Macaca fascicularis: one gene and its partners. The protein of the gene in region 3 interacts with the protein of the main gene of each other region in a biochemical or structural test. Links are inferred from orthologs where the notes say so. Each region holds a gene or a part of one and is shown on either strand. Other genes may lie near its edges.

Evidence for each region.
Region 1: the proteins of GTF2E1 (region 3) and GTF2F1 form a complex in vitro, tested with the Homo sapiens proteins (3 studies listed by BioGRID). The link is inferred for Macaca fascicularis from reciprocal best matches to the Homo sapiens genes GTF2E1 and GTF2F1.
Region 2: the proteins of GTF2E1 (region 3) and ERCC3 form a complex in vitro, tested with the Homo sapiens proteins (2 studies listed by BioGRID). The link is inferred for Macaca fascicularis from reciprocal best matches to the Homo sapiens genes GTF2E1 and ERCC3.
Region 4: the proteins of GTF2E1 (region 3) and GTF2F2 form a complex in vitro, tested with the Homo sapiens proteins (2 studies listed by BioGRID). The link is inferred for Macaca fascicularis from reciprocal best matches to the Homo sapiens genes GTF2E1 and GTF2F2.

Annotation. Positions count from the first base shown.
Region 1 is NC_088393.1:7,165,196-7,172,675, forward strand, and holds part of GTF2F1 (general transcription factor IIF subunit 1), read right to left. Parts: intron 7,203-7,480; coding exon 7,130-7,202; intron 4,405-7,129; coding exon 4,211-4,404; intron 2,025-4,210; coding exon 1,854-2,024; intron 1-1,853. UniProt on the Homo sapiens protein: TFIIF is a general transcription initiation factor that binds to RNA polymerase II and helps to recruit it to the initiation complex in collaboration with TFIIB. It promotes transcription elongation.
Region 2 is NC_088386.1:4,281,165-4,288,354, reverse strand, and holds the end of ERCC3 (general transcription and DNA repair factor IIH helicase/translocase subunit XPB), read right to left. Parts: intron 6,705-7,190; coding exon 6,586-6,704; intron 4,695-6,585; coding exon 4,542-4,694; intron 2,995-4,541; coding exon 2,863-2,994; 3' UTR 2,539-2,862; downstream 1-2,538. UniProt on the Homo sapiens protein: ATP-dependent 3'-5' DNA helicase/translocase. Binds dsDNA rather than ssDNA, unzipping it in a translocase rather than classical helicase activity. Component of the general transcription and DNA repair factor IIH (TFIIH) core complex.
Region 3 is NC_088376.1:162,456,458-162,464,366, forward strand, and holds the start of GTF2E1 (general transcription factor IIE subunit 1), read right to left. Parts: upstream 5,015-7,909; 5' UTR 4,964-5,014; intron 1-4,963. Other genes in the region: RABL3 (rab-like protein 3), read left to right, coding at 5,244-5,289.
Region 4 is NC_088391.1:24,394,836-24,402,315, reverse strand, and holds part of GTF2F2 (general transcription factor IIF subunit 2), read right to left. Parts: intron 6,362-7,480; coding exon 6,343-6,361; intron 4,438-6,342; coding exon 4,293-4,437; intron 1-4,292. UniProt on the Homo sapiens protein: TFIIF is a general transcription initiation factor that binds to RNA polymerase II and helps to recruit it to the initiation complex in collaboration with TFIIB.

The DNA of each region.
Region 1 (7,480 bases), on a different chromosome or scaffold from region 3:
GAAACCCCATCTCTAGTAAAAATGCAAAAAAATTAGCCGGGCGTAGTGGTGCGTGCCTGTAGTCCCAGCTACTCGGGAGGCTGAAGCAGGAGAATGGCGTGAACCTGGGAAGCGGAGCTTGCCATGAACTGAGATCGCGCCACTGCACTCCAGCCTGGGCAACAGAGCGAGACTCCATCTCAAAAAAGAGATGGCATTTCTCCTTTGGTTAACATCCAGGTTTTACACAATTCTATAAAATGCCAAATTCTTCTCCCTAAAACTTTCAAAGCAGATTCTAAGGAAAATGCAGCAAAAGGGAACCTGCCCTCCCAGCAAAAACTGATCGATGGATTTTACAATGGAGCCCCAGGAACTCAACCAACGTGGAGCAGGCAGGAAGACTGGGGGATGCTGTTCCAGGGTCCAGGGGCACAGAAACTGCCCCACAGGCTCGGAGGCTCATTACCTGGAGAGGAGGATGCTCTGACTGCGTGCCATTTATGGGGTTGCTTTTGGAGCTAAGCCAACCTGCAACTCCAGAAATTTTAAAACCAAAGAAAATGACTAAAAACTAAAGCAGGCCGGGCGTGGTGCCTCATGGATGTAATCCCAGTACTGGCTCATGGATGTAATCCCAGTACTTCGGGAGGCCGAGGCGGGCAGATCACCTCAGGTCAGGAGTTTGAGACCACCTGGCCAACATGGGGAAACCCTGTCTCTACAAAAAAATACAAAATTAGGCTGGGCGCGCTGACTCACGCCTGTAATCCCAGCACTTTGGGAGGCCGAGGTGGGCAGATCACAAGGTCAGGAGATGGAGACCATCCTGGCTAACACGGTGAAACCCCGTCTCTACTAAAAATACAAAAAATTAGCCAGGTGTGGTGGCGGGCGCCTATAGTCCCAGCTACACGGGAGGCTGAGGCAGGAGAATGGCGTGAACCTGGGAGGTGGAGCTTGCTGAACCCGGCAGGTGGAGCTTGCAGTGAGCTGAGATCGCGCTACTGCACTCCAGCCTGGGTGACAGAGCGAGACTCCGTCTCAAAAAAAAAAAAAAAAAAAAAAAAATTACAAAATTAGCTGGGCGTGGTGGTGGCCAACTATAATCCCAGCTACTCGGGAGGCTGAGGCAGGAGAATGGCATGAACCCGGGAGGCAGAGGTTGCAATAAGCTGAGGTTGCACCACTGCACTCCAGCCTGGGCAACAAGAATGAAACTCAGTCTCAAAAAAAAAAAAAAAAAAAAAAAAAAAACCCACTAAAGCAAAGAGAGAAAAAGGTGTTTTTTTAACCCTTTGTGAGCCATCAACTCTTTGAGCATCTGCTCATCTGTGACCTGTGCAAATGCCATTTTGCAGATGCATCCAAAGTGCCCTCCCCACCATCTGCAAGCACCCTAGGGCAGTGGTGGCCCTAAGGTCTCATCCAAAGCCGTAACATCCAAGACCAAGTGCTCTGGGCCCCCAGCCTCGTCCCCCTGCCCACAGTCACTCTGCACTGGCCTCATGCACTGTCTCTCTCCACAGCCCTTAACTGTACCCGCCTCACCTCTGAGGCCAATGACACTGCTAGAGAAACCCTCCCAGGATGCCCTGCCTGGAGCTGTTGCCCTGCAGTGGATCAGGCTGTGTGACCTGCGGCCTGTGGAAGCCAAGGGGACAGTTAGATCCCATTCTGCTCTGCCAATTTGAGCTCCAGGTCACCCCCTCCTATCTGTTTCCCCCTGAACTGACAGCTCCGAGATGGCTGAGTGGGGTCTGCCCTGGTTACCCCTGAGTCCCCAGCTCCCAGCACAGGGCCTGGTGATATACCCACAGCAAGGCACCCCATTTCCCTCACTTCTGTCCCCAGCAGCCACACAGTCCACTCACCTCTCCCACTCCTCCTCGGCCTCCTCGGCAGTGAGCGTGCGGTGCCGGGCCAGTGGCGTGAAATTGTACCAGTTGTGCACGGGGAAGGCCTCGAAGGCCCCGTCGGGGCACTGGGTGAAGATGTAGTAGGACGTGTTCTCTGTCACGCCTCCCTTCTTGATGCCCTTGAACCTGCAGGGAGCCACGATCATGGCCTGGCCCACAGGGACCAGCCCAGACCTGCCTGTGTCCCCCAGGCCTGCCTCCTTTATGGCACTTGCCATAAGAGGAAGACCAAGGAATGCCCATGAGGCCTTCAACCAGCTGGGCCTCGTCAATTCTCACATCTGGGGAACAGCGCCGGCACACCTACACTGCAAAGGGCTGGGCATGTGCGCATTGGGATCATTTCTGGAAAGACCGTGTGAGATTATCTCAGAAGAGCCCAACCCTGCAGTCAGACCGTCTACATTTGCCTCCAGCTCTGCTACTTGTGGGCCATACCCAGGAAAATGAGGAGCCAAGTGAGAGGATGGGGCGGGAAGGCATGGCCAGATATTTTTTTTTTGAGATGGAGTCTCGCTCTGTCACCCGGGCTGGAGTGCAGTGGCACAATCTCAGCTCACTGCAACCTTCGCCTCCCGGCTTCAAGCGATTCTCCTGCCTCAGCCTCCCGAGTAGCTGGGATTACAGGTGTCCGCCACCACGCCCAGCTAATTTTTGCAGTTTTAGTAGAGACGGGGTTTCACCATGTTGGCCAGGCTAGTTTTGAACTCCTGATCTCAAGTAATCTGCCCGCCTCGGCCTCCCAAAGGGCTGGGATTACAGGCGTGAGCCACCATGCCCAGCCATGGCATGGCCAAATCTGAAGTGGACACCTGGCCCAGGCCACCATTCCCTCAAGCCTAAACAACTGCCCAGCCTCCTAAGGCCTCCACTTCATTCTCTTCTACCCTAAAGGTCCAGGCAATCTGGGTGAGCGCCCCTTCCCTGCCTACAGCTTTCCAAGGCTCCACTGGGTCCAGCACATCCTGGCACCTACTGCCCTGTGTGAGCTGCCTGTGTCTCTCACTATCACCCAACTGCTGTGCCTGGAGCACCCTTGATCAACCTAACCTGGACCCCTCCCGTTCTGGCCTCAGTCTGCCCCCTCTAAGAGGTCATCTCAAGTGTCATGAGCCCCCAGCGCTGGCCACCCAAGCTTCCTGCATTGTGTACTCAGAGCTGCCTCAGAGCCAGGCACAAGCACCAACTCAGTGAACTATCTTCAAAAATACAACCCCAGGGCCTGGGCGGTGGCTCACGCCTGTAATCTCAGCACTTTAGGAGGCCAAGTTAGGAGGATCGCTTGACCCCAGAAGTTCAAGACCAGCCTGAGCAATGCAGCAAGATCCCATCTCTACCAAAAATACAAAAATGAGCCAGGCATGGTGGGGCACGCCTGTAGTCCCAGCTACTCAGGAGGCTGAGGTGGGAAGATCTCTTGAGCCCAGGAGTTGGGGCCTGCAGTGAGCTACGATCACACCACTGCGCTCCAGCCTGGGTGACAGAGTGAGACCCTGTCTCAAAATAAATAAGTAGGCTGGGTGGCCGGGCACGGTGGCTCACGCCTGTAATCCCAGCACTTTGGGAGGCCGAGGCGGGCAGATCACAAGCTCAGGAGATCGAGACCATCCTGGCTGACACGGTGAAATCCCATCTCTACCGAAAATACAAAAAAATTAGTCGGGCGTGTTGGCAGGCGCCTGTAGTCCCAGCTACTCGGGAGGTTGAGGCAGGAGAATGGCATGAACCTGGGAGGCGGAGCTTGCAGTGAGCCAAGATCGAGCCACTGCACTCCAGCCTGGGTGACAGAGTGAGACTCCATCTCAAAATAAATAAATAAATAAATAAATAAATAAAGTAGGCTGGGTGGGTGGCTCACGTCTGTAATCCCAGCACTTTGGGAGGCAGAGGCAGGAGGATCACGAGGTCAGGAGTTCGAGACCAGCCTGACCAATATGGTGAAACCCCATCTCTACTAAAAATACAAAACTTAGCCAGGCCTGGTGGTGGTGGGCACCTGTAATCCCAGCTACTCAGGAGGCTAAGGCAACAGAATCGCTTGAAACCGGGAGGTGGAGGTTGCAGTGAGCCAGGATCATGCCACTGCACCCCAGCCTAGGCGACAGAGCAAGACTCCATCTCAAAAAAATAAATAAGTAAAATAAGATAACATAAATAAATAAAAAATAAAACCCTACAGGGATGGAAGTGCCAGCACCTCCATCGCAGCAGTGGGAATCCGAGGTTCAGAGAGGGTACCCCACAAAGTTTGTAAGTGGAGGGGGGATGTGGACTGGTCGCTAAGCCGGCACCGCCACCGCCCCACCACTTACTTCCTGCCAGATTTGCCGTTGACCCGGAGCAGCCAGGGCTGGTCCTCGGGCCGGAACTCCTTGAGGACGATGCCATATTTCTTCCTCCGAGCCTCCTCCCGAAGCTTGCGGTTGAACTCACTGCCTGCGCCCGATTCGGGCATCTCCTCCTCTTGGTAGATTTTCTTGTTGCTCAAGTCCCGCTCCAGCCGAGCCTAGGGGAGCAGGAAGCAAAGCCTCTCAGGGTCCCTGGCTTTGCTTGGGCGGTGCCCCGCTCTAGGAATGCCCTTCCTCACCCTAGGCCAAGCTCTAGACGCTCAAAACCAACTTACCACTTGGCAACAAGGGAGGAGAATGGTAGCCTTTGATAAATCTGGGTAAGGGGAATTTGAGCGAGCCTTGTGTTCTATTTTTGCAACTTAAAAGCTTGAAATTACTTCCAAATTAAAATTAAACAGAAAAAGAGCACCTGGTGGCCATCGAGCAGGCCCTCGAAGGCAACATTCCTTATCTGAGGAATGTAGAAGTAATGAAGACTTCCCCATTCTGTACGGCAGGCACCTGGTTCCGGGCTTCTTTTCCAAAACTTTATAAGTAACTAGAATGGCTACGCATCTCCAGAATGCATGCGTATCGAAACTCATTGTGTGGTAGCTCACGCCTGTAATCCCAGAACTTTGGGAGGCCAAGGCAGAAGGATCGCTTGAGCTCAAGAGTTTAAGACCGGCCGGGCGCGGTGGCTCAAGCCTGTAATCCCAGCACTTTGGGAGGCCGAGGCGGGCAGATCACAAGGTCAAGAGATCGAGACCATCCTGGCTAACCCGGTGAAACCCCGTCTCTACTAAAAATACAAAAAACTAGCCGGGCGAGGTGGCGGGTGCCTGTAGTCCCAGCTACTCAGAGGCTGAGGCGGGAGAATGGCGGGAACCCGGGAGGCGGAGCTTGCAGTGAGCCGAGATCACGCAACTGCACTCCAGCCTGGGCAACAAGAGTGAAACTTTGTCTCAAAAAAAAAAAAAAAAAAAAAAAAGGCCGGGCGCGGTGGCTCAAGCCTGTAATCCCAGCACTTCGGGAAGCTGAGACAGGCGGATCACAAGGTCAGGAGATCGAGACCATCCTGGCTAACACGGTGAAACTCCGTCTCTACTAAAAAAATACAAAAAAACTAGCCGGACAAGGTGGCGGGTGCCTGTAGTCCCAGCTACTCAGGAGGCTGAGGCAGGAGAATGGTGTAAACCCGGGAGGCGGAGCTTGCAGTGAGCCGAAATCCGGCCACTACACCCCAGTCTGGGCGACAGAGCGAGACTCCGTCTCAAAAAAAAGAAAAAGAAAAGACCAGCCTGGGCAACATAGTGAGACTCTATATCTATTTTTTAAAAATAAAAAGGCCGGGCACGGTGGGAGGCTGAGGCAGGTGGATTACTTGAGGTCAGGAGATCAAGACCAGCCTGACCAACATGGCGAAACTTCATAAAAAGACAAACATTAGCTGGGCGTGGTGGCAGGCACCTGTACTTGGGAGGCTGAGGCAGAAGAATGGCTTGAACCTGGGAGGTGGAGATTGCAGCGAGCCCAGGTCGTGCCATTGCACTCCAGCCTGGACAACAAGAGACTCCATCACAAAAAATAAATAAATAAAATAAATAAAAAGAATCTCATTGTGCAACATTTACTGACATTAAGGCACCAAAATCTCTACAGATGTTACCATTTATCGTGACCTATGTGGCTAATATGATCCAAATTACCCTTAAGCTCTTGATTTAAGGTCCATATATACCATTTCCAAAACACTCTAGAATCAGCCACATCTCATAACCTCCACTGCCCCCAATGCCCACCAGGACTCACCTAGACCAGACCAGTTGCTTCTACCCCGTCTCCCTTTAACTGCCCTCAAACCCACAGTCTGTCTCCCCACAACAGCCAGATCACACTACAACCTCCCAGTTGAAAACACTTTAATGGCTCCCAAAGTCCTTTCTAGAGCCTCTGATGGCAGGGGCTCTGGGAAAGCCCCCAGCCCAGTCCCCTCCCTTGCCCAGATAAACCCTGGCCAAAAATGCCCATCGGTGGGCACAACTTCTGAATGTTCTCCTTTAAGGAGAGGCCTCCGGTGGGCCTACCAAACCTAACTTACAGGGACACCCAGGAGCTTGACCTGGGCCTTTGCCATTCTTTTTTTTTTTTTTTTTTTTTTTTGAGATGGAGTCTCGCTCTGTCCCCCAGGCTGGAGTGCAGTGGCCGGATCTCAGCTCACTGCAAGCTCCGCCTCCCAGGTTCACGCCATTCTCCTGCCTCAGCCTCCCGAGTAGCTGGGACTACAGGCGCCCGCCACCTCGCCCGGCTACTTTTTTGTATTTTTTTTAGTAAAGACGGGGTTTCACCGTGTTAGCCAAGATGGTCTTGATCTCCTGACCTCGTGATCCACCCGCCTTGACCTCCCAAAGTGCTGGGATTACAGGCTTGAGCCACGGCACCCGGACTTTTTTTTTTTTTTTTTTTTTTTGAGACAGGGTCTTGCTCTATTATCCAGGCTGGAGTGCAGTGATGCAATCATAGCTCACTGCAGCCTTGAACCCCTGGGCTCCAGCGATCATCCTACCTCAGCCTCCTATGTAGGCCTACAGACCCACACTACCAGCCCCAACTAATTTTTTAATTTTTTTGTAGAGTTGGGGTCTTGCTATTACTTTGCCCAGGCTGGTTTTGAACTCCTAGCCTTAAGCAAGCTTCCTGCCTCGGCCTCCTAAAGTGCTGAGATCAGGGGTGTGAACTACTGCACCCAATCCTTTGTCATCTATCTTTTCTTCATTTTGAGAAAAGTGAGAAAATTAAGACTTAGTTACTATGACAGTTAAGCAACTATTACAATCACCAAGGTCAGGGTCATGTTCTCCCACCACCCCAGCTCCCAACCCCCAGGACCCAGGGACTTACCTGATTCCACGTAGCAAAGTTGACTTTATCGGCTGCATTAAAAGCCATGATATTATATTTTTTGGTTGTATTCCTGGAGTGGATTAGAAAGAGGTGGTGTCAATCCAATACAGCAGTTCAATCATTAATGAATTAATGCGATTGAACCATTAATTCAATCAGCCATCCAACTGGATCATTAATTCAATCAAATCATTAATTCAATCGCTCGATCCAATTGAACCATCAATTCAATTCAATCCTTCCATTCAATTGAATCATTTATTCAATTCAATCACTCAACAAACCCACCCCGATTCGATTCATTCAGCCTGTTTTGCCTGGCAACACTGGATACAGAAGACTCCAAGG
Region 2 (7,190 bases), on a different chromosome or scaffold from region 3:
ATTCTATCTTGGCAAGTGATGTGTGTATTTGAAAAGAATGCTTACACTGCTGTTACTCGGCAGAATATTCTGTAAACGTCAATTAGGTCAAGTTGGTTAATAGTATTGTTCAAGTCTTCTGTATCTTCACTGATTTTAGCTGAATTATTCTAGAAATTTACAGAAAAATTTCCTAGAACTGAGTTTAGCATGACTGCATGACTGAGAAACGATATATAAAAACTGATATATAAAAATGAATTGTATTTTTGTGTATTACCAATGACATTTGGACATTTAGATAAAAACTTGTTACATGACGTCAAATAAAAAATCTGGAGCTTAAGTTCACAGAACAGACAATGTCAAGAAAAATAAGAAGAAAAAATCTGGACTTGGTAAAGGGAGACTATTTGAAAGGATGGTTGCAAAGTGGTGGGGAGGGGCGTACTACTGCAGCAGGGAGAATGCACTGAACATAAGATCTGTTTGTCTCAGGGTTAGGCAAAGGGGTTTTCTTTTATAGGGAGGGAAAGTAAGTAAAAGAAGTGGGATGAAGGAGAGTGGCATGGTGGGACAGTAGATCCAATCAGTGACTTACCCTGAGTCCAGTCTATTCTCTCCAGGGGTGGAAGGGAGGGTGAGCCAAAGTTCAGGGGTCCGGGGGTAGAAGAGAATCTAAACCAAAGTCTGGTTCACAAGCATTTTGTTCCCACTGATCACTGGGGACAAGCAGTTTAGCTAATTTATGAGGCAAAGAATGGGAATTTGGAAGGCCTGTGTCTGGCCTCGACTGGGGTCTTCAAGGGCAGCATTCATGAGTCATACTGGGAAGGATGGTTCTCTGCAGTAAACTATTTTCCAGAACACCAAGGACAAGGGACTCCTTTAAATGTGTCTGTTTCCTAGGACCACAGGGTTCAGGTAAAATTCAACATTGTCAATAGAGAAGAAAACGGGGGCCAGAAATGTGAAAATACAGGAAGTGCTCAGTATTGAGGATCTCAAGTGTAAAGGTATGACAGGAGGCGAGACTGAAAAGAGTAATGGTTACAGCCAAGTTTGAACATTTGAGTGCCAACCCATCAGGGTTACATGACAGGCGAGTCTGTGGGCTCAAGCGTGCACCTCAGACGGGGCTGCTCAGGCCCTCTCCTCCTAGTGAGGGCCCTGGTACTGGTTCCTGGGGTTTGCCCTGATAAGAGTGGCTAGATGCCTGGCAGCACCAGCTGCTGACTAGACTATGAGAGTGTTTGTCACCAAAAGGTCAGCTCAGAGAGGCAGAATGTGGGGCGGGTGGCTCTTGCTTCAAAGCCCCCTGATGAAAGAGGTATTAGGTTGGTGCAAAGGTAATTCTGTTTCTGCCATTAAAAGTAATGGTGGCCGGATGCAGTGGCTCACGCCTGTAATCCCAGCATTTTGGGAGTCCGAGGCAGGCGGATCACAAGGTCAGGAGTTTGAGACCAGCCTGGCCAATATGGTGAAATGCTGTCTCTACTAAAAACACAAAAAGTTAGCCGGGTATGGTGGCGGGTGCCTGTGGTCCCAGCTGCTTGCGAGGCTGAGGCAGGAGAATTGCTTGAACCTGGGAGGCAGAGGTTGCAGTGAGCTGAAATCGCACCACTGCACTCCAGCCTCGGCAACAAAGCGAGACTCTGTCTCAAAAAAAAAAAAAAAAAGTAATGGCAAAAGCCGCAGTTACCTTTGCACCAACCTAATACTTTCTTCTCCTCAGACAGTCTGTGGCTGCATCACAGACAGCAGCCCAGCTGTGCTGGAGCTGAGTACAGGAAGCTGCTGCCGAGCTGTGGGGATGGGCAGGGACTCCACTCGGAAGCCTTATGTAGCCAGGGTTTCAACACTCCCTCCCCAAGTGTGAGCGCTGATTCCTGTTCGAGGGAGTGAGCCTCCTCCTCAGAATCACAAGTCTTTCTGCAAGGCAGATATGCCTCATGGGTGTCTACCTTTCAAGGAGCAATCCTGCCTGGACTGTCTTTTCCTCAACACCTTTGCTTTCATACCAGAAACAGAAGACAAAAGCCCAAAGCCATTAAAAACAAAGTAGCAATTAAAACACCCAAGGGCACTAAACTGCTATTAGAAGAGGAATCTAGCCCCTCAGCAATATCTAAAAACGTACTTTGAGGGAGAAACAAGAAGTCACTCTTTCAGAGAAGATGAGCCACCAGGAGCCAATCTGGAAGGCCTTCATGATGTAGGTGTCTACCTTGGACAAGGTTGCAGGAACAGCTGTAACGACCACAACAGCAGGAAGCTGTGCGGTTGCAGCCCCAGTCTGAATCCACCAGGCTAAGCTGTGCACAGGGACCACAGTCAACTGCCCAGGCTCTTTCCTCCAGCTGGATCACCCTCCCCGTTCCCCAGGTATTTCCTGCTGACGCTTCTTCTATCTCAAGGTACATCTCCCTGGTAGCTCCCTGGGGAGGGGCTCCATCTTACTCATCTGTGCTGGCTACAAAGTAGGGGCCTTGATGGAGGCTGGTCATCCAGACATAACCCATGCCCAGGACGAAGCATAAAAATACTTGTACAATGAAGAGTGGTTCAATGGTCCATTCTGTTTATTCAGAACAGTAAGATAAATACACCTTAAATATTAAAATTTTTTATATACAGAAATGACCCCACTCCCCAAAAAGTTTGAAAAAATATTGTCTCCTCCTAGATGATAAAGGCAAGAGGAGACAATAAACCCTAGATGACCCATGAAGGCAGAGCCAAGCCCTTGAGGCAGTTTCCTCAGCATAGTTTGGCCAACGCTGGAGGGAAGGTCAAGGAGGTCGAAGGAAAACGTTACGCTGAAAATCCCTTTCCAACGAGGGTGCCAAGCGCCGGTCTTGAACGAAGTACCCCGCCTCAGCATCATTTCCTGAAGCGCTTGAAGAGAGGGTGCACATGTTTGCTGGGCGCCTTGCTCCGTGATGAGTGGTACTCCATGTACACAGTGTCGTCGGCCCCGGACATAGAGCTCATGGTGCCAAAGCGCCGAGATGCCTGCCGGGAACAGCCCATGTTAGTCTCCAGGAGAAAAGACACTCCTTTTATAATATTTATGATCACAGCAAATTTTATAAGACGTACATAAATTTAATACATCATTTTAAATAATGTTTACAGATCGCTTACTGTGTCTCAAGGCATTGTTCTAAGCATTTGACATGCATTATCTCCTCTAATCCTCAAAACTATTATAATCCACACCTTAAAGAAGAGGAAACTGAGACACAGAGAGATTAAGTAACCTCGCCAAGATCACACCGCTCTTAAGGAGATGGGGCTTGAACCCAGGTAGCCGGGCTTCAGACTGTTCTTAACCATAAGGCACACTGCCTCACTTAACAACAGCTTCTAAACAATTTTTTTTTTTTAAGAGAGAAACAGGGTCTCCATATGTTGACCATGTTGGTCTCAAACTCCTGGACTCAACTGATCCTCCCGCCTCGGCCTCCCAAAGTGCTGGGATTACAGACATGAGCCACTATACCTGTTCTGAACAGAATTTTTTAACAGTTAGGGCAGAAGTCCCTTAAAATCTCCTGAGACACCACCATGAGGCTTTGAATCAAGTGGAAGGACAGAAAGCTCTGGGCTTGACTCTTGGCTGCACCTGTCCCTGAGTAACCCTGGGGCAAGGAATTAGTGTCTGCACCTCACCTCAATGACCTCACCTGTAAAATGGGGATAACCATATCCATCCTGACATTTCTATCCTGTGAGGAGAAAGAACCAGGCACCTCCTCACAACCAGTGAGAGCAGTGAGAGCACGCTCCTGGGTTCCCATGGAGAGAGCTCCCTAGTCGGGGAGAAAAGCCTTAGGCTCAAGGGAGGACGGCCCCTCCGCAGGGACAGCTGCTTCCTCGGTCCAGCAGTTGCTCACCTTCCGGCTCTAATGGCAACTGAATTTCAAACGCACCTGACTGAAGTGCGCTTCTCCCCTTGGAGCCTGATAATTCTCCATAATGCTCTCACTAATTAGACCATATATTTGCTTGTTCTACAGCAGGCAAATTTGTAGAATAAATGAAAGGTTGAGTATTTTCACAGAACTCTACATTTTTCAAAGTTAAGTATTGAAGCTACCACAAGAGTTGACCTCAGAGCTGTCTTAGGGGCTAGAGGGCTCAGCTTTACCACTGAGGAGGACCCAGAGGAGAACTGTGTGCCCACGACCAGGAATGGCAGCCCTGGGTGGGGAACTACATGCCCTGGCCTATCACGCTCCCTCCAGTCGCCACCAAGGTGAGCTGGGGTCACCTGCTTGCCATCCTGGGCTTCAACATCAAGATCTAACGAATACTCGTGTGAGTAAAGCAGGAGACGAGTCACAGCCACTGCGAGGTCAGCTGTATGCAACAGGACCAGGGGCACACACCAAAAGGGCAACAGGGGTTGTTTCTATTCATCTCTTCCGTGTTTTCCATTTCCAAAGAAATCCCATGGGCCCATCCAGGGGCCCACAGACTACATGTCTGTGTCTGTGTCTACAAACGCTGCCCTGTGGGAGCACTGACACCTGGACCTTCCTTACCCATTTACTCACCTGGCTGGATCTGGAGCCAAACTCCCCAGCCACCACCTCCTCCTCGGCATCCAGGTCAGTGGCTGCCAGGACCTTCTGTAAGAGCTGTTGCTGCTCTTCTTTTGTCGAAAATGCCAAGTCTTCCTCCTCCATGCCAGCAAGCTTCGTGATCACCTGCAAAGCCCAAGCCAGCAGACATGCTCCCTTCTGCTCTCTCTCCCCAACCCTCCTCTGCCTTCTCCTGGGTCCACCTGCTCTGTTCACTTCCCTCCCCAGGCCCAGCCACCGTGGTGGCCAACAATGGAGAGCTTCTCCCTAGAATTCCAGAGACCAGCATCAGGAGCCGCTTTTAACACGGAGCTTGACTAATGATCTCAAGACCAGAGGGACATAGGAATTTCAGAGAAATGTGCCCCCAACACATAGCATCTAAATGATCACGTATGGAAGATGAACAGGAAGAGTCTTAGTGAGTGTAAAAGGCTCCTTCGGGCAGCCTTCACATCTTGGAGCAGGCAAAGGAGGAACGGACAAGAGACTGGAAGGCACATGCTGTGGCCCTTTAAGAAGGTCCCTGGCATCTGCTGTGCCCAGCAACTGGGGCTTCAGCAGGAATGAGCACATGAAAATGAAAACGATAGGATATCAGGAAGATATTGACAGGACTTCTCTGAAACAGTAAGAACAGCACGGTGGAGACTGGGTTTCATTTCTCTGGGGATAACTTACTACAAGGGCTCCCTATCCCCGCAGAAAACTGGGTTGATTCTGTAAAGGGAACTCTCCTTCCCTCCAATTCTCATAACGTTAATTAAAGGAAAATTCCTAGAAGTAAGGATCTGAGTCCTTCTGGGCAGGGATCCAGAGTATAGACGATGTGCACGTCTGCCCAGGGCCCAACCCCTCCAGGTCATGACTCGGGGAACTCCAACGACTGCTCCTCAACAGGCAGCACCGAAGACACAGCTCCAACCAACACAAACTACTAAGGTACGGTATTGTGCCTTTTTGTCGAGGTCACCTTTCAAAGAATTCAGAGTAGCTCCTTCTGACTTGGTGCTCCTCTGACCCTCACAGCTCGGCAGGAATCAGGAGGTAGGAATGCTATTACCAGCAGGGATTTTCAGGGATGGATAAAACGGTCACAATGCAAATCCTCCAAAAAACTGGGCTCAAAACCCGAGCATCTTGTCCTTTAGGCCAGCATGAGGTCTGAAAAGTGTCCCTGCCTCTAGCTAAAAGAGGGGAGGCGAGACAACCCCGTCCTCCTAAGGCCAATAATGGGAATTCTCACCAACGCATAAAGAGACACATTAAAAATGTATCTAAAAGGCAGCCTGGATTGCAGTCTTTTGCAATCAAGAACCTGGGAGTCTGATGTTCTAGGGATGTCCTTTTAGTGGACCATAGGGGTAATTTAATTCCCCTACTTCTAGAACCCTCCATCTATCCCCAAAATATAAAGCCCTTCTGGACACCAAATACTGACATAAAAATAATATTTGTGTAACAGGAAAGAAAGCAAATGCCTCAGCCAATGAAAGTCAGCCAAAGCTTTAGAATTTCCCAATTATTAAAATACCTGATTCGTAGTACAGGGATGGCTCTGGTGTCTGGGAGGCAAACTGAGGCACACTAAGGCCTGGAGCTTACCAGCTGATGAAAGGAAGGGCTCTCCTAGCTACCTGGATTGGCATCCCTGAGAAAGCAACCCTGCGGGGCTCAGACTCACACAGTGCTGGCCATAGTGCCGTGGCTCAGACTCACACAGTGCTGGCCATAGTGCCGTGGCTCAGACTCACACAGTGCTGGCCATAGTGCCGTGGCTCAGACTCACACAGTGCTGGCCATAGTGCCGTGGCACCTCAGTCCTGCCAGGACGGCACGCTTCCCGCCAACAGCTGCCCTCAGTGATTCGTGCAGAGATAAACGGAGTTTGAGGCAAGGCCTCTAATCCCCGAATGCTTGGTGCCTGCCTGCTGACAGTGGTCCTCACTTCTCCTGGAGGCCAGGGTACCAAGAAGGCCTTGGTCCTAGTCTAACCAGAGGCCAAATGGATATGTACCTTGAAGCTATAACCTTGATCTACCAAGAATCTCTGCCGCTTGGTTGAGTAAGCCATTTCCTGTGTGTCCTGGGATACCAGTGAGTAGAAGAAGGCATTGTACTCCTCTGCAACCATCCCTGTGGGAAAAAATGAGAAAAGGAAAGAAAGAAGACAACATTAGCCATTAGAATGCCAAGAGCTCAGGGTCCCAGGTTCAAAAGCAAGCACTGCAGTGGAAAAGCCCCGCACTTGGGGTTACCACCTGAACTTGGCATGGGATTGCATCAAAATTTAGAAGTCTTTTATGCTTCCAAGGACACCATCAAGAAAGTGAAAAAACAATCCACAGAACAAAAAAATATGTGGAAAGCATGTATCTGATAAGGGATTTGTATCTAGGTTATATAGAAAGCTATTGAAACTCAACAAAACAAATTAATTATAAAATGGGCAAAGAATATGAACAGATTATTTCTCCAAAAACAATATAACAATAGCCAATAAGCACAGGAAAAGGTGCTCCACACCATCAATCACCACGGAAATGCAACTCAAAACCAAAACGAGATTATCACCTCACCCCTACGAGGGTGGCTAGAATCAAAAAAGCAGATAACGGCCAC
Region 3 (7,909 bases):
GCTACTTTTATGATCTAGAGTATGTTTGATTAAAAAGTAACTTTTTATAAAACAATATATTATGTCAAGTCTCCTTTACTTCAGAAGAGAAACACAAAAAAAGCTACATGAAATGCTCACTATTCTTTGGGAATGCTGGAAACCCTGAGAAAACTAGCAGTTAGCATTTCCTAAAAGTGTCTTTGTTTCTTTTCTTGAGTAAAATTTTTCTACCAAGATTCTAGGATGTTTTACATACTCATGCTTTCACAATAATATCACAACAAACCAATAAACACATAAGTAATCACCACCTGGGGTGTTTGACAAAATCATGAACTGGTGTAAAACTGAAAGAAAGTAATACTTAGATCCAGATAGTTTTACTAACCTTGAAAAATTAAATCTCATAATCAAGGAAAGACCATCCAGTCCTTAAAAAGGTAGAAAATGAGAGAGGGAGCGCAGCCCAAAATATTCTTAAATACTGAATCCCTTAACAAAGCAGAAACTAAGTGTATCTCATTTCCATACCATGACCCAGAAAGCTGTCTTCTCAAAGCCCATATTGGCATGTGGTTTAATTTAAAAACCTGGGCTTCTGAAGGTGGAGGTTGCGGTGAGCCAAGATTGCGCCACTGCACTCCAGCCTGGGCAACAACAGCGAAACTCAGTCTCAAAAAAAAAAAAAAAGAAAAAAAACCTGGGCTTTGAAATTCAGAGTACCAGCCTGTGTTTTGGTAACTATGTAATCCTGAGCAAATCCCTTAAACAATTTCAAGCCACATTTTACTCTCTAAGATATAAGGATAGTATCAACTACCTCAATGGAGTTGTTGTGATTAATAAGAATGTAATTAAAGTGCTTAGGAAGGACAGCTTCCATATCAACTTAATATGTTCCAAACTAAAAATGGCTAGACTATCCACATAGATTAAATCAAGTTAAATTTCCCTAGCCCACAGGGAATTTTTTTTTTTTTCTTTTAATAGAGACAGGTGCCCTGTTGCCCAGACTAGAGTTCAGTGGTGTGACTTGGCTCAATGCAGTCTCAACCTCCTGGGCTCAAGCAATCCTCCCACCTCAAACTCCCCGGTAGCTGAGACTACAGGTGGACACCACCATGACTGACTAATTTTTGTATTTTTTGTAGGGACAGGGTTTCACCATTTTGCCCAGGCTGGTCTCGAACTTCTGAGCTCAAGGGATCCACCCATGTTGGGGGCTTCCTAAAGTGCTGGGATTATAGATGTGAGCCACCACACCCAGCACAGAATTTTTTTTTTTTTTTTTTTTTTTGGAGACAGGGTCTCAGTCTGTCACCTAGGCTGGAGTGCAGTGGCGCGAGCTCAGCTCACTGCAACTTCTGCCTCACGGGTTCAAGCGATCCTCCTGCCTCAGCCTCCTGAGTTGTTGGGACTATAGGCGTGTACCACCACACCTGTCTAATTTTTGAATTTTTAGTAGAGACAGGGTTTCACCATCTTGGCCAGGCTCCACAGGATAATTTTTAACAGACATCCCACTGAAATATTTCATGGAGAATCATATTCTGTTATTAATACTAGTTTCAACTGACCTTTTTATTTGAAATCAATGGTTATCAACCGCAACAGATTTAATACTCTTTTAATAAGAAATGTTTTGATATCCATAGTATCATACTATAAGGAAACTCTACACACCAATCTATAACCAATCTATGCACATATTTTGGGGGGAAAATATAAGGCCCTTCGTGTAATAAAGGAAAAGGCAGTCAAAAGAAAACACGTACTTTAGGTTATAAATACTCAGGTATGACTATATATTATAAGATATAACAAAGTAGCACCTAGATCCAAATCTGTGAACCTAGAGCCTTTCCGCTACCCCAGGGCTTAAGGATGCCCGGCAAGTGCCTGGGCTAGACACCAAAGTAGTACCACAGCCATACTACTGGACACACTTTGCTCTCCTTCTCAGTTTGGTCTGTACATTGTACTTGAACCCAGTTTTGGTTTTTTGTTGTTTTACATCCTCAACAGTTGTCAGAACACAACATATGGCTTCTGAAACATTCAACAAAGAACAGCAAAAAAATGTCAACATAACCTGTTTCCAGGATTATTTCCTACTATTGTATTCTCCTTCCCTGCTCCATACATGCCATGTCCCAGACTAATAGTTCTCAAGCCTGGTTTTAAAGCAGAATCATCTAGGGAACGTTTCAAGAATACTGACCATGGGCCCCATTCCTAAAGGTTTTGTCTCAGGTGGTTCGGGGTGGCCAGATTTGGCATCACACAAATTTTTAAAGCTCTTTAGGTGGCTCTACTATACAGCGAAAGTACCTACTATATATCCTGCCAATGCTCATCCTGCATGGAGAGGTCCCTGTGCCACTAATCGCTCAGCCTGTTTCCTTTGCCTAAAACACCCTAGGGAGCTGTGAAGACTAAAGTCAGGGAGTGATGTGAAGACTTTACAATCCAACAGTTTTGGGGTTTAAATCCCAGTTCCAGTATTTCTTAGCCCCCCTGACCCCAGAAAATTCTCAGACTCAGTTTCCTTATATATAAAAAGTGATTAGGCCAGGTGCAGTGGCTAATACCTGTAATTGTAACACCTTGGGAGGCCGAGATGGGGGGACTGCTAGAGTCCAGAAGTTGAAGACCAGCCTAGGAAACACAGTAAGACCCCACCTCTATAAAAATTTTAAAACTTAGCCAGGTATGGTGCTGTGCACCTGTAGTACCAGCTGAGGTGGATCAACTGAGCCAGGAGGTCAAGGCTGCAATGAGCCATGATTGAGCCACTGCACTCTAGCCTAGGTGACAGGACATGACCCTCAAAAAAAAAAAAAAAAAAGTGATTAACGGTCCCCTGCTCACACAGTTAATGTATGAACTCAGTGAGATAATTAATGCAAAGTGTTCTGCTTTCAGGGCTGGCATGAGAGTTCAATTAAGTACTGGCATTCATAATAAATCCCCTATTTAGAAAAACGACTCTTATACCAATATGAAGAATGGACTCAAATGGGTGAAGGTGGAGGCAATGTGGAAGTACTGGGTGTATAAAATCAAACTACGGAAGAAGGCAAAAAATTGCAAGAAGAGAACAGAATGAATGAAAGTTATTACAGAAAAAAAAATAACAAGGACCCAACAAAATATATTGGATACAGAATATGAGAGTAGGAAAAATCTTAAATAGCTCTGTTTTGAGCCAGTGTAGCTAGGAAAAGTACTGCCATGAGAAATAGGTGACACTTGAAGAGGAGCAGATATGGAAGAAATGAGGAAATCATTTTTAGAAGTGTCTCTGAGGAAATACCATAGGATATTCCTCTGAATATGCCCAGCAGGTAGCTGAACAAATGAAACTAGAGCTTAGGAATGAAATGAAGCTGTGCCACCTTGTTCAAAATCTGTGCATTCTAAAATCCTCCTTCCTGACCACTAACTTCTCTCCTCCACCACTACCCACTCACACTGAATCTCCTTACTCAATCTCTAGAGGTCTTAGGTAAGAATTCTCAAACTGGCAGCCCCCCAACGCATTGTTTCACCCAAAGAAATGTTTCAAAAATTTTCTGAATTAGTTGTCAACATTTAAAAATTGTAAGAGTTCACATAAATTTCAACTTCCAGCTCCTCCTGAAAAATTGGAAATATCTGAGGAAAAAGTGAGCCCATGGTCCCACATGGAAACAATAAGCTGAAGACGAATAGCAGCTGGCATTATTAGGGAAGGAGTATGGCTGGTCTCTGGAGACTTCTGAGTGTGGTACCTCCTAGGACCTTTTGTTTCTTCCTTTGATCTTCATAGTCCATGAGTCATATCCCAGCCTCACCTCCCTACCCCAGTCCAGACACGTGTATTTTAATCATATAAACATTTAAGGACTATTGTGCACCAGGCACGGAGCTAGAGAAACAAAGTTGAAAAGAATGCACCCTCTGCCCTCTGTCTACTCTGTCAGCCTCATATCCAGCCACACTAGCATATTCTCAATTCCATAAGCCACATGTGCTTTCCGTGCTTACCAGAGCTTTGCACATGCTGTTCCTTCTGCCCCTACAACTAAGCCAACCCCCTTCTCCTAATCATCCTTCAAGTCTCAAATGACGTTTCCTCATAGAGGCCTTCCCAGACTCCCCATTAGGTAGCGTACAATCATCCCCTCTCACATGTTCCATGGCTCTTTCTCCCTTCTTGTACTTTCTCCATGTCTATCTCTAAGACCAGACTTCATTTTGTTCACCAATTAATTTCCAGTATCTAGCACAGCCAGACAAGTACTTCCATAAAACTTTCCATATGTGTCCTAGACACGTGTTGTTCCAACACGGCTCATTTTGCCAGCTTCCCCCCGCTTCACTTCCTCCACTCTTGCTTCCACGGTAGAATTGGACAGGCTATTGGGCACTCTCTTCTTAAATTTAAAACAGTTTTAAGCTGGAGGTGAGTGGATCAAATTCACGATGTTAAAAGTGTGCGCTGACTGCAGAATGGAGAAAAAAGCTGGATGCGAAGAGTCCAGTTAGATTACTTCAGTACACCACTACGCCAGTTCTAGAACAACCTGGGATTCTACACATCTAACTGCGGTGTTCTGGTACCACATTTCATGGCACTTTCCACGCCTTCACTGAACACATAGCGGCAAACTACTGCGAAACCTCCGGACCCAGCTGCCCTCCACGAGACGCGTTCGGTGATATGCACTCCTCCCCACTGCGAGACCCCGAGACCCCAAACTCCCTCGGACTCTCCCAGTTGGGTCTAGGGCCACACTCGGCGCACCCAAGCCCGCCCTACCCGAGGTCCCACACGGGCCGTTCCGGGGTCAATGGTTCTTTGGAGAACCAAGAGGACCAAGGCAAGAGGGTAATTCAATAGGGGAGGACAGTTAAGAGGGAGCGAAAGGAAGAAGAAATCATGAAATGCAATGCCCGGCCAGGGAACTCCGAACAAGGAACAGGGAACAAGGTTTACCAAAGCGAATCCTGGAACACTCCCACTACAGCTGCCCTCAGCTCTTCAACTACCGGCTTAAATGAGCCACGCCTCTTACGCGACAAAGAAAACGCACTATTCCTGAGACCAGCTGGGGAAACACCCCGCTACCAGACCAGCCAATCAGCTCAGTGAAGCCTTCGATTCAGACAGTCACGCTCCGAGCGGCCAATGAAATTGAAAGCTCTGCCCTCCATGCCCAACTCTGATTGGCTTACAATCCCGGAACAGGCGTTAACCCAAGGAAGGCAGTGGCAAGATGGCGTCCCTGGATCGGGTGAAGGTACTGGTGTTGGGAGACTCAGGTGAGCGTCTTACCCCACCTCTGGGGCTCCAGACACTTTTGAGTTACCCAGTAACCCTCCCCTTACCTTCCTTCCCTCAACTCCCTGGCTCTTCGGCCCGTGGCTGAAGTCCCTCCGAAGTCCTGAAGACTACACTTCCCAGGGGACTTTGCTCCGTGTGACGACGCGGCGGCGGCGGCGTCGCGCGGGTGGGGGTCGCGGAGCCCGGGTCTTTTTCCTTCGCGGCTTTCCACATCAGTCTCCCAGAAGACTGCAGCCTAGAGTGTATTGTCAGTTATTTTATTTGGAAAAAAAAAAAAAAAAGGCAGGCATTGAGTATTGTATGGAGTTCTGTGTTAAGGGTACAGAAGTTAGTAGGACCGTGCCTTCAAGAGATTTTGTTCATTAAGGAAGTCAAACGTGCACTGACAAACGTGAACTGGCAAGCGCTTCTCATACATTAACTCATTTAATTCTGAGATTAGTCCTATGATCACATTTTACGGATGAGAGTAGTGAGGCAGAGAGATGTGAGTGGCAGAATCCTTTTGAACGCAGAGTCCACAAACTTAAACGCTAAGTTATAAATACGCAGTGACATATTGGGTGGTGGTCCTGTTTTATTCTTAACTGAGCTTCTTGACTTCCTGGTTCTCGTTTGATCTTCATTGAAAACCTATTATGTCCTAGACTGTACGATAGAGAAATTAAAGTAAGAGTTTTATTCTGAAGCAGCTAGGATTTAACGCTGAGCCGAATTTAATCCTAGTGTTAAAATTCTTTTTTTTTTTTTTTTATCTCAATGGATGCAAAGAAAAATTATTTTGACCCCTGGGACATTTGAGAACTACAGCTGACTTCTGGATTTCCAGCTCCCACCTCACTGCCCTTATCTTTTCTTCCATAATCCCCAGTTCATCTCTCCTTAGTAACTTCAATAAATGCTGAACTTGCATTTTATAGATGTGCTCTTCTGGAGTTGGCCTAAGAGCGTGTGTTGTGAGCAGAGACATTGTGCTAGATGCTTGGAGGTGGAGAGGCTTGAAAACTAGCTTAACAGAAACTAAATAAAATTGTGGCCGGCAAAGATAGGTTAAGACTGTTTTCACATTGCCCTGAGTATTATTTGCATTACGAAATATTTTACAGAAAGCATTATTTAATATTCCCCTAAGAAAGTTGCCTTTTGAAACTCAATGGACATAATCACAATTTATGTCGACTTCATTTCTATCAGGTAGCTTGAAGTGGTGCCAAAGTTAATTTAATAAAATCACTCAGTTTTACAGATAAAGAAAGTAATGGTGGCCTAAAGGGACTTAGCAAGAGTATCACTGAGTAGAATTTAGAATCCAGAACTAACAGACTTCTTCACGATATGTTAAGTGAGTGTTTTCTGTCCTCTATAATTCCATTTTCTGTTGTATGTAACAATCCCTTCATATTGCAAACTGCTGCAACTAGTCAATTTATTTTCTTTCCAGCAGGCACTGTATTAGGTTCTGGGGTTATAACTGTGGAATTAATGCATCATATAACAGGGGTAGAATTAGCTGCTACATTAAATGTGGAAAAGTAATCAGGCAATTGATAAGCTTCCCTACCCCCACCCCCCCACCCTTATGGTTTAGTTGTGAAGCAGAAGACACAGCTGTGATGGCCAGGAAAGTGATTGATATTGTCACACATTCACTAATGTTAACCTTTATGTGCAGATGTTATCACACATTCACTAATGTTAACCTTTATGTGCAAAGTTAGTTATTGTCTTTTTATCTTTTTAAAAGGCAATTTTGTCAGTCTCCTTTTAACTGTCATTTAATAGTACACAGTCTGACAGGTTAGAATACACTTTTTACACTTCCTCTGCCTTTGTTTCAAACCTGAAAGTTTATTTTTAAATAAAGACCATTTCCCTCATAAAATTTTGAGGGTTTCACAAATATATAAAGAAATGACTTAGCCAGACAAGGTGGCCCTTGCCTATAATCCCAGCACTTGGGGAGTTTGAGTCGAGTGGATTGCTTGAGCTTAGTTCAAGACCAGCCTGGGCAACATGGCAAGACCCTCTCTAAACCAAAAACAATACAGAAAGTTAGCCAGGCGTGGTGGTGCACGCCTGTAGTCCCAGCTACTCAGGAGGCTGAGGTGAGAAAATCAGTTGAGCCCGGAAATTTGAGGCTGCAGTGAGCTAGGATCGTGCCACTACGCTCTAGTCTGGATAATAGAGTGAGACCCTATCTCAAAGATAAAAATAAAAAGAAGAAAGAAATGAGTTGATATTTGGAGATTTGTTTTCTATCCTATTGAGATATTTGGTAATTTGGTGAAGAACCCTGAAAGTCTCACTACCATCTGGTTTTCTCTTTCTTTCAGAGATTAGGGACTAGTTTAACATGTTACCAAATAGCTGTATTTGGAGCTGACATTTATTTATATTGGGACTTTTTTCCCCCCAAGTACGTCAAGTGCATTCTTTTGATCCAATTTAGTTCTAAAGGTGAACACATAGAGTCAGAAGCTCCCAAAATTCTTAAAGAAATGAAATTAGCCATTATTCCCTAGCACTTCAACTGTTCTTACTGTTTAGGGTTTCATCCCGTGTTAGCTAATACTTAATCATCCAAAGCAGTTAATTCAT
Region 4 (7,480 bases), on a different chromosome or scaffold from region 3:
TTTAATGATTTTTTAGATAGCTATGACAGAGGATGACAGGCAAAAGAATGCCAAGTGAAGAATTGGATCCTTGAAGGCTAGAAAAATGAATTTATCTTTACTATCTTTCGTCCTATTCATATACTTCAAGGTCCAGCTCAAATATTATCTCTACTTCTGAAGCCAGTTCCCTCAGGCAAAGTACACATGCTTTTTTTCCTCTTTGTGCATAACTCCATTGGAGCACTTGTATTCACATACCAGTTGCCTCAGTGCACAGGAGGCTAATCTTATTCTAGCACAGGGCTTAGCACCAAAAATATCTATTGAACAGATGAATGAACATTTTTGTCTAGAATTGGCAGTTATAAATAATAATATCTAAGAGCCAGACATGGTGGTGCACGCCTGTAGTCCCAGCTACTCAGGAGGCTGAGGTGGGAGGATCACTTGGGCCCAGAAGTTCAGCCTGGGCAACAGAGTGAGACACCGCCTCTAAAAAAAAAACAAGAAAATCTAACTTTGAATAAAAGTAGGAATGCCAAGGAGGATGCCAAAGGCAGAAAAAATAGAAATTATCTATAGTTATCAATAAATAGTAGATGAAAATACTAAACTGAAGACCCAAGGCGGGGAAATGCAAGGCCAAACACATGAGGTATTTCCACAGAGATAAGGGTAATGGATAAGAGAGCTCCATGAAAATAACAGAGAAATATTAATAGATCATTTCGACTTTCATAGAGGAAAGCAGAAGTGGAAGAAGGGGTAACCCAAAATAGCCTATAAAAATAAAATATATTCTTTCAGACAGGAACACTGAATTAGAAATACATTAATTGAGTTCATAAAATGTTGATGACACGCAGATTATTTTAATTGAAGAGAAAATACTGTATAACTTATCATTAGTCCCCTCTAATTCCCTCTCCCTAGAAGACCCAAATGTGCCAAATTCTATCATTAGGAAAATAGGCTCAAAGGAGGCCTCTCAAAAACTAGCAAAATCACATTAACAGGAATAAAGTTATTAAAACTAAAACTCCTAACATAGTGAACTAAAATGTGATTTCAAGCTTCCTTACAAACTCTACATTTTATAGACCTGTGCACTAATAAAAAGAAATGAAGAGCCTAGAAAAGCAAGTATGGTTCTATGCTTGATAGAAAATGTAGAAATATTCCAGATAATGCCTACCTCATTTATATTTCAATGTAAAATCAACAGCTTACTCCCTATAAAATGGCTTAGTCACTTATACTTTGGCAGGTTCATGACCAACTAAGGTTAAAACTAGGATAGTGGTTCTGTAGCTTTTCTGAGCCACAGATTCCTCTGAGATGCCAGTGAAAGCGCTGGAACCATCCTATAGAAAAGAATGCACATATACAACATACATCTAACATTTTAAATACGTCGCAGCAGTCACAGAGCCCATTGTACTATTTATGACTTCCAAGAGATACAAGGAACCCACTTGTATAACTGCTGCTTTAATGACTAGAAACAGCAAATACATAAGACTCCTCAGAGGAGATAAACTACTCACAATTCTAGAGCTTTTTTCTTGGTCATGCAGGCAATTGAGAAACATTTAATATAAAAATCCCTACTGGCTGAATTTTATCAAGTGATACACATCCAGATTGAGCTAAAATGCATGCACTTGCCTTAAACTTGAAACCTAAAGTGTTTAAAAACAAGGTGTAATATTAACAACAGCAGCTAATATTTGAGCATCCATTATATACTGAGCATTGTTCTAAGTGTTTAAATGTATTCATATTTTTATATGTCAACAAATTATCCTCATTTCATAAATGAGAAAATTAAGGCACAGAAAGGTGCAAAGAGAATCAAGGAACAATGACTTGAAACAGAAATAATGAGGTTAAGAAGTAAAATATTGTTACAGTGTATTATAACTAATAGCAACTTAGAACTGCATTTGTATTATCACAGTTGTGCAAAGCAAGAACATACCGTCCAAGCCCCAGAATAAGGATGACAATCTTAATTCTTTTCCATATCCCTGCCAAGATAATCCTCATAAAACCACGTTCCCTTCAGAGTACACTGTAGCCAGAAATGTGAACATGAAATGTTCAAAAAGAGCACAACACTAAAGTATTTTTAAAATGTAAAATGGAAGACTAATTTTGAGGCTAACAAATGTTAGCTTTCTAAATCACTGTCTTTGTAGAAGCACCAGAAATAAATCATGTTTTCAAAAAATTAGTCACTTAATAAGATGTAAAAAATCTGTAATAGGGTACTTTTTTCTACAAAAAAAAGTTCAAGTTTCCCTACCTCAAACTTTTATCAAGGCGATGTCTCCTTTTTACTATCTTGGTGCCATGCCTCTTCCACTCTAGGACAATCACAAAAGTAGAGAAAACCTCACAGGTTCAATGGATCTTATTAAATCTCATCAATCAAAAGGAATAGAGTTGTTGAAACTAAAACTCCTTAACTCTTTTTTTTTTTTTTTGAGATTGAGTCTCCCTCCATCACCCAGGTTGGAGTACGGTGGTGCAATCTCGGCTCACTTCTACTTCCACCTCCTGGGTTCAAGCGATTCTCCTGCCTCAGCTTCCTGAGTAGCTGGGATTACAGGCACCCGCCACCACGCCTGGCCAATTTTTTATTTAATAGAGACAGGGTTTCACCATGTTGGCCCAGCTGGTCTCGGACTCCCGGCCTTAGGTGATCTGCCCACTTCGGCCTCCTGAAGTGCTGGGATTACAGGCACGAGCCACCGCGCCCCGCCAAAACTAAAACTCTTTAACATACTGAATTCAAATGCGCTTTTAATTTCAGACAAATTTCAGATTTTTTGATAGGTCTATACTATGCCCTGAACTATGCAGCATGCAATAAATATTTGTTGAAAGGTTGAATCTTCTCCAGTATAAAATGGATGTATTGAAGAAACTGTTACTTTTCTGCCTCCCATACTACTAAACTATTAATTATTAGAGCATCAGAAAACTGCAGTGAAACCAATCTTCTACCTTCAACTACATAACTGAAGAATTATAATTTACCATTTTGTTATACTGTACATCCAAGAAAAAAAGAATAATTTTTAGATCATTTTATGTAGCTATTGGTAATCGAAGACACCACAAAAAAATTTATGAGGATGTACCTTTTTTTAACCAATGGTGTTCTTAACATACTATAATTTCTTACAGCTTCCTTTGAAATGTTTGATGAAATACAACAAAATCACAAATGTTTTCTTTTATCAATAAGCTTTTTGAACCAGATAGCAGAAAATTAGCTCCATTAAACTAAGGTGGCCTGTTGCTTTAATAGTATTCTAAACTCAGTGAAAGATAAAAATCCCAAAACATGGAAAATATACTCATGCTGAGTGTGTGCCACAAGAAAGTTCCTTCTGTATTTAATTCACAAATGGAAACATTTGCTTCTGATTTATTGAACTGTTAAAATATCTCATTGCAAACACATACAATCTTAAAACTCTACACAGAAACTTCTTAGAAGCCAATATCAATTAAAAGTTATCTCTGTGCAATAAAAAGGTCCCCTTGGTATACAAAGCATACAAGATGAAAAATTCAGACTAAAATATTCCCTAATATCGAGCTGTATTTTTAAAGTACAACTTATACTTGCTAAATATCAATTTACTAAAACAAGCAACGATGACCTTATCTTGGCAAAATTCAGAATACTGTTTCTTCAACATCTGAGAAGGCAGCTTGATGAACCACATTCTTCCATCTGCTTTGTTCTATATCTTCATATCCCAAATAGAAATTAAACCCTTCTCAAGTAATGGCCAAAATTTCATTAATCACAAGAAAGTACACAGAGCAGAGAAGTAGCATAGTATGAATAACAGAGGTACACAAAATGAGAGGTGGAACAGTCTTGGTAATGACCTTAAAAAAGCAAACAGGAGGCCGGGTGCGGTGGCCCACGCCTGTAATCCCAGCACTTTGGGAGGCAGAGGCAGGCGGATCACCTGAGGTCAGGAGTTTGAGACCAGCCTGACCAACATGGAGAAACCTCGTCTCTACCAAAAATACAAAATTAGTCGGGCATGGTGGTGCATGCCTGCAATCCCAGCTACTCGGGGGGCCGAGGCAGGAGAATCGCTTGAACCTGGGAGGTGGAGGTTGCAGTGAGCTGAGATTGTGCCACTGCACTCCAGCCTGGGCAACGAGAGCGAAACGCCATCGCAAAAAAAAAAAAAAAAAGCAAACAGGAGTGTATGTTGAGACAGAAAATCTATACAACAAGTACAGGAATCACATTAAATAATTCCATTCCCACTTACCTGATGAGCTCTCAGTAAACACTGTTAATGTCTGTCCTCCAACACTTTGCAAGACAAATGGGTGTTCTCTAGGAGCACTGACTGAAGCCGGTTTTCCACCAATATCATGAATATTTGCAAGGTCCTCATTCAAAGTAAATGACACCTAATAGACACATTAACCAGAGATTATAACAGACTTTTGTATTCAAACTACATATAAAAAAATTTTAGTTATAAATCAAATTGTTTTTAAATGTGTTTTCCAGTCATTTCATTAAACACTTTAACTTTATTAAAAACTCCTTAATACTTGCTCACAAAAAGAGAATGTAAACTGGACACACTGGTGCACACCTATAATCCCCGCTACTTGGGAGGCTGAGGTAAGAAGATTCCTTGGGCCAGGAGTTCCAGGCTGTAGTTCACTATGAAAAGCCATTGCACTCCAACCTTGGCAACACAGCAAAACCCTGTCTCTTAAAAAAATCAAAAGAGAGAAAGACAATCTATTCCCGTTTGTCAGAATAATGGGGCTAATAAAAAAATAACAAAATCACATCCTTTGCAGCAATGATGCAGCTGGAAGCCATTATCCTATGTGAATTAGTGCAGAAACAGAAAGCCAAATACCACATGTTCTCACTTACAAGTGGGAGCTAAACATTGGGTAGACATGGACCTAAAGATGGGAACAATAGACATTAGGGACTCCAAAAAGAGAGAAGAGACCAAGAGTTAAAAAACTACCTATTGGTTACCATGTTCACTATCTGGGTGACAGGATAAATATCAGCCCAAATCTCAGCATCATGCAATATACCTATGTAACAAACCTACACATGTACCCCCGAAATAAAATAAAAATTACTACAACTAGTAAGAAAATAAAAAACAAAAACAAAAAGAACAATGGGGCTAATCTACCATCATAAAAAAAAGACAGTTTTCATGTTTTCTCTAGTCTGTGGCTGAAGAACTCTTTCCAAAACAGGGGTAAGATTATTTTTTCCAGCTGGGCGCAGTGGTGCTGGTGATCCCAGCACCCTGAGAGGCCGAGGCAGGCGGATCACTTGAGGTCAGGAGATTGAAACCAGCCTGGCCAACATGGCAAAACCCTGTCTCTACTAAAAATACAAAAATTAGCCAGGCATGACAGAATGAGACTCCATCTCAAAAAAAAAAAAAAAAAATCATCTTTTTTCTTTTTTCCTAAAAATCTCTGAGGTCTGAGGTCAAGGGATCATGTCTTACTATATTTTATATCCTTAAGATCTAGCAGAGTGCCTGGCTTATAGAAGAAAATAATATTGCTGAATAAGCGAATATTTTAAGAATATTAAGAAAGCAATTGTACTTAAGATGTGGGGGTGTGAACTATTTACTCCGAAAAGCTTAAACACTCCCATAAACAGAGGATGTATTTATTTCGTAGGTCTTAATGACAACCATATGAGTACATGGTATTATTTTTCAATGTTTTGACAAATACAACTCAACAGTTACAAGGACAGCTCAATAATAAGGTTTAGAATAAAAAGACATACTAGGTGTTCTTTCAAAATGCTTTGTATCAGATATCAGATCTTCCCAAAAGAACTTCACATTTTACACTAAACAGACTTATAAACAAAATTACTCATCTCCCAAGCATGTAGGAAGATCATAAAGTATTTATTAAATATCTCTCTACTATGTGATAAGTACTGTAAATCACAAACTGTACTCAATGGGTCAGAATCTAAAGTCCTCAAAAACTCCGTATCAAATGCCTTTGTCGCACTGAAGTAATACTAATGTATTAGTACAGTATTACAGAAGTTTTACTCAGTTTCATGGTACCAAAAGACGGGAAATGTAGGTCAAAGAAGAAAAATGCTGAGAATGAACAACTAGAAAAGAGTCCATTCATTCACACAAGGGTGGCATTTATACCTTTATGTATTCCTAACCATCAGTCATGCACTTGATGTGGCATTTTCTAAAATTCAAACACTCTTTCTTCACTATTATTAATGAAAAGTAAGATAGTCTCAAGTTTTAACTAAAATTTCCATATAAATAATCTTACCTCAGTCCTTCCTTGATTCCTAAAGGAGAGGAAAAGAAATATTTTAAATTATTTAGATGTCATGTTGTTTTCAAATGTGAGTTAAGAGCTTAAAAAAAAAAAAACTTCATATTTACATAAAATATTACATTACAGAGATTAACCAATATTTACCCTTGACTCCCCACAACTGTCCTATTTACAATCTTATGGGAAAAACAAACTCACATTAATCACACATCACTATTTTGTATATTATGAGTTTATGTCACTTAACTCTATTATAACCTCTGCTAGTTCTATTTTGTCCAAATAATGATCTTATTACAATTCTTTCTTTTTTCTTTTTTAGATTTTTTTTTTGTTTTTGAGACAGGGTCTCCTTCTTTTTTTTTTTTTTTTTCTTTTTGTTTTTGAGACAGGGTCTCCCTCTATCAACCACAGAGCCCCAATCATGACTCACGGCAGTCTTGACCTCCTAGGCTCAACCGATCCTCCCACGTCAGCCTCCCACGTAGCTGGGTCTACAGGTGCATGCCATCACACCCAGCTAACTTCTGCCTTTTCTTTTGTAAAGACAAGGTCTCACCGTGTTGTCCAGGCTGGTCTTGAACTCCTGGTCCCAAACAATCCACCTGCCTCAGCCTCCCAAAGTGCTGGGATTACAGGTGTGGGACACTGCACTCAGCCTTATTACAATTTTTATCTTTATTTCTGAGCATTTTTGGCATTCAGCAGCATGTTAATACATATATAATACCAGATCTACATAGTACTTCATCAAATTTTACTATTCATTTTATCTAGCTGAAGAGGTTTCATTTACCTAACAAAATCTTAAAGATCAAGTTATTAAATGTAATAATTTAAATTATGAGCAATTTTTCTCTATTATAAAACAATATATGCCCATTATATAAATATTTTTAATACAGACAAGCAAAAAATAAGTTTTAAAATAGCCACAATTCCATTGTTAACTTCCTGGTACAGTATCTTTCCACACTATTTTCTATATACTGTACTTGAATTATGTTTTTAAATTTTAATTTTTTTACAAAGCAAAATCAATGCACATCCTATATTAGAACTTAATTTTTTCAAAAACATGTATTAAATACCTCCTACATGCAAAGTACTGAGTTAGCCCTGTCCCAGC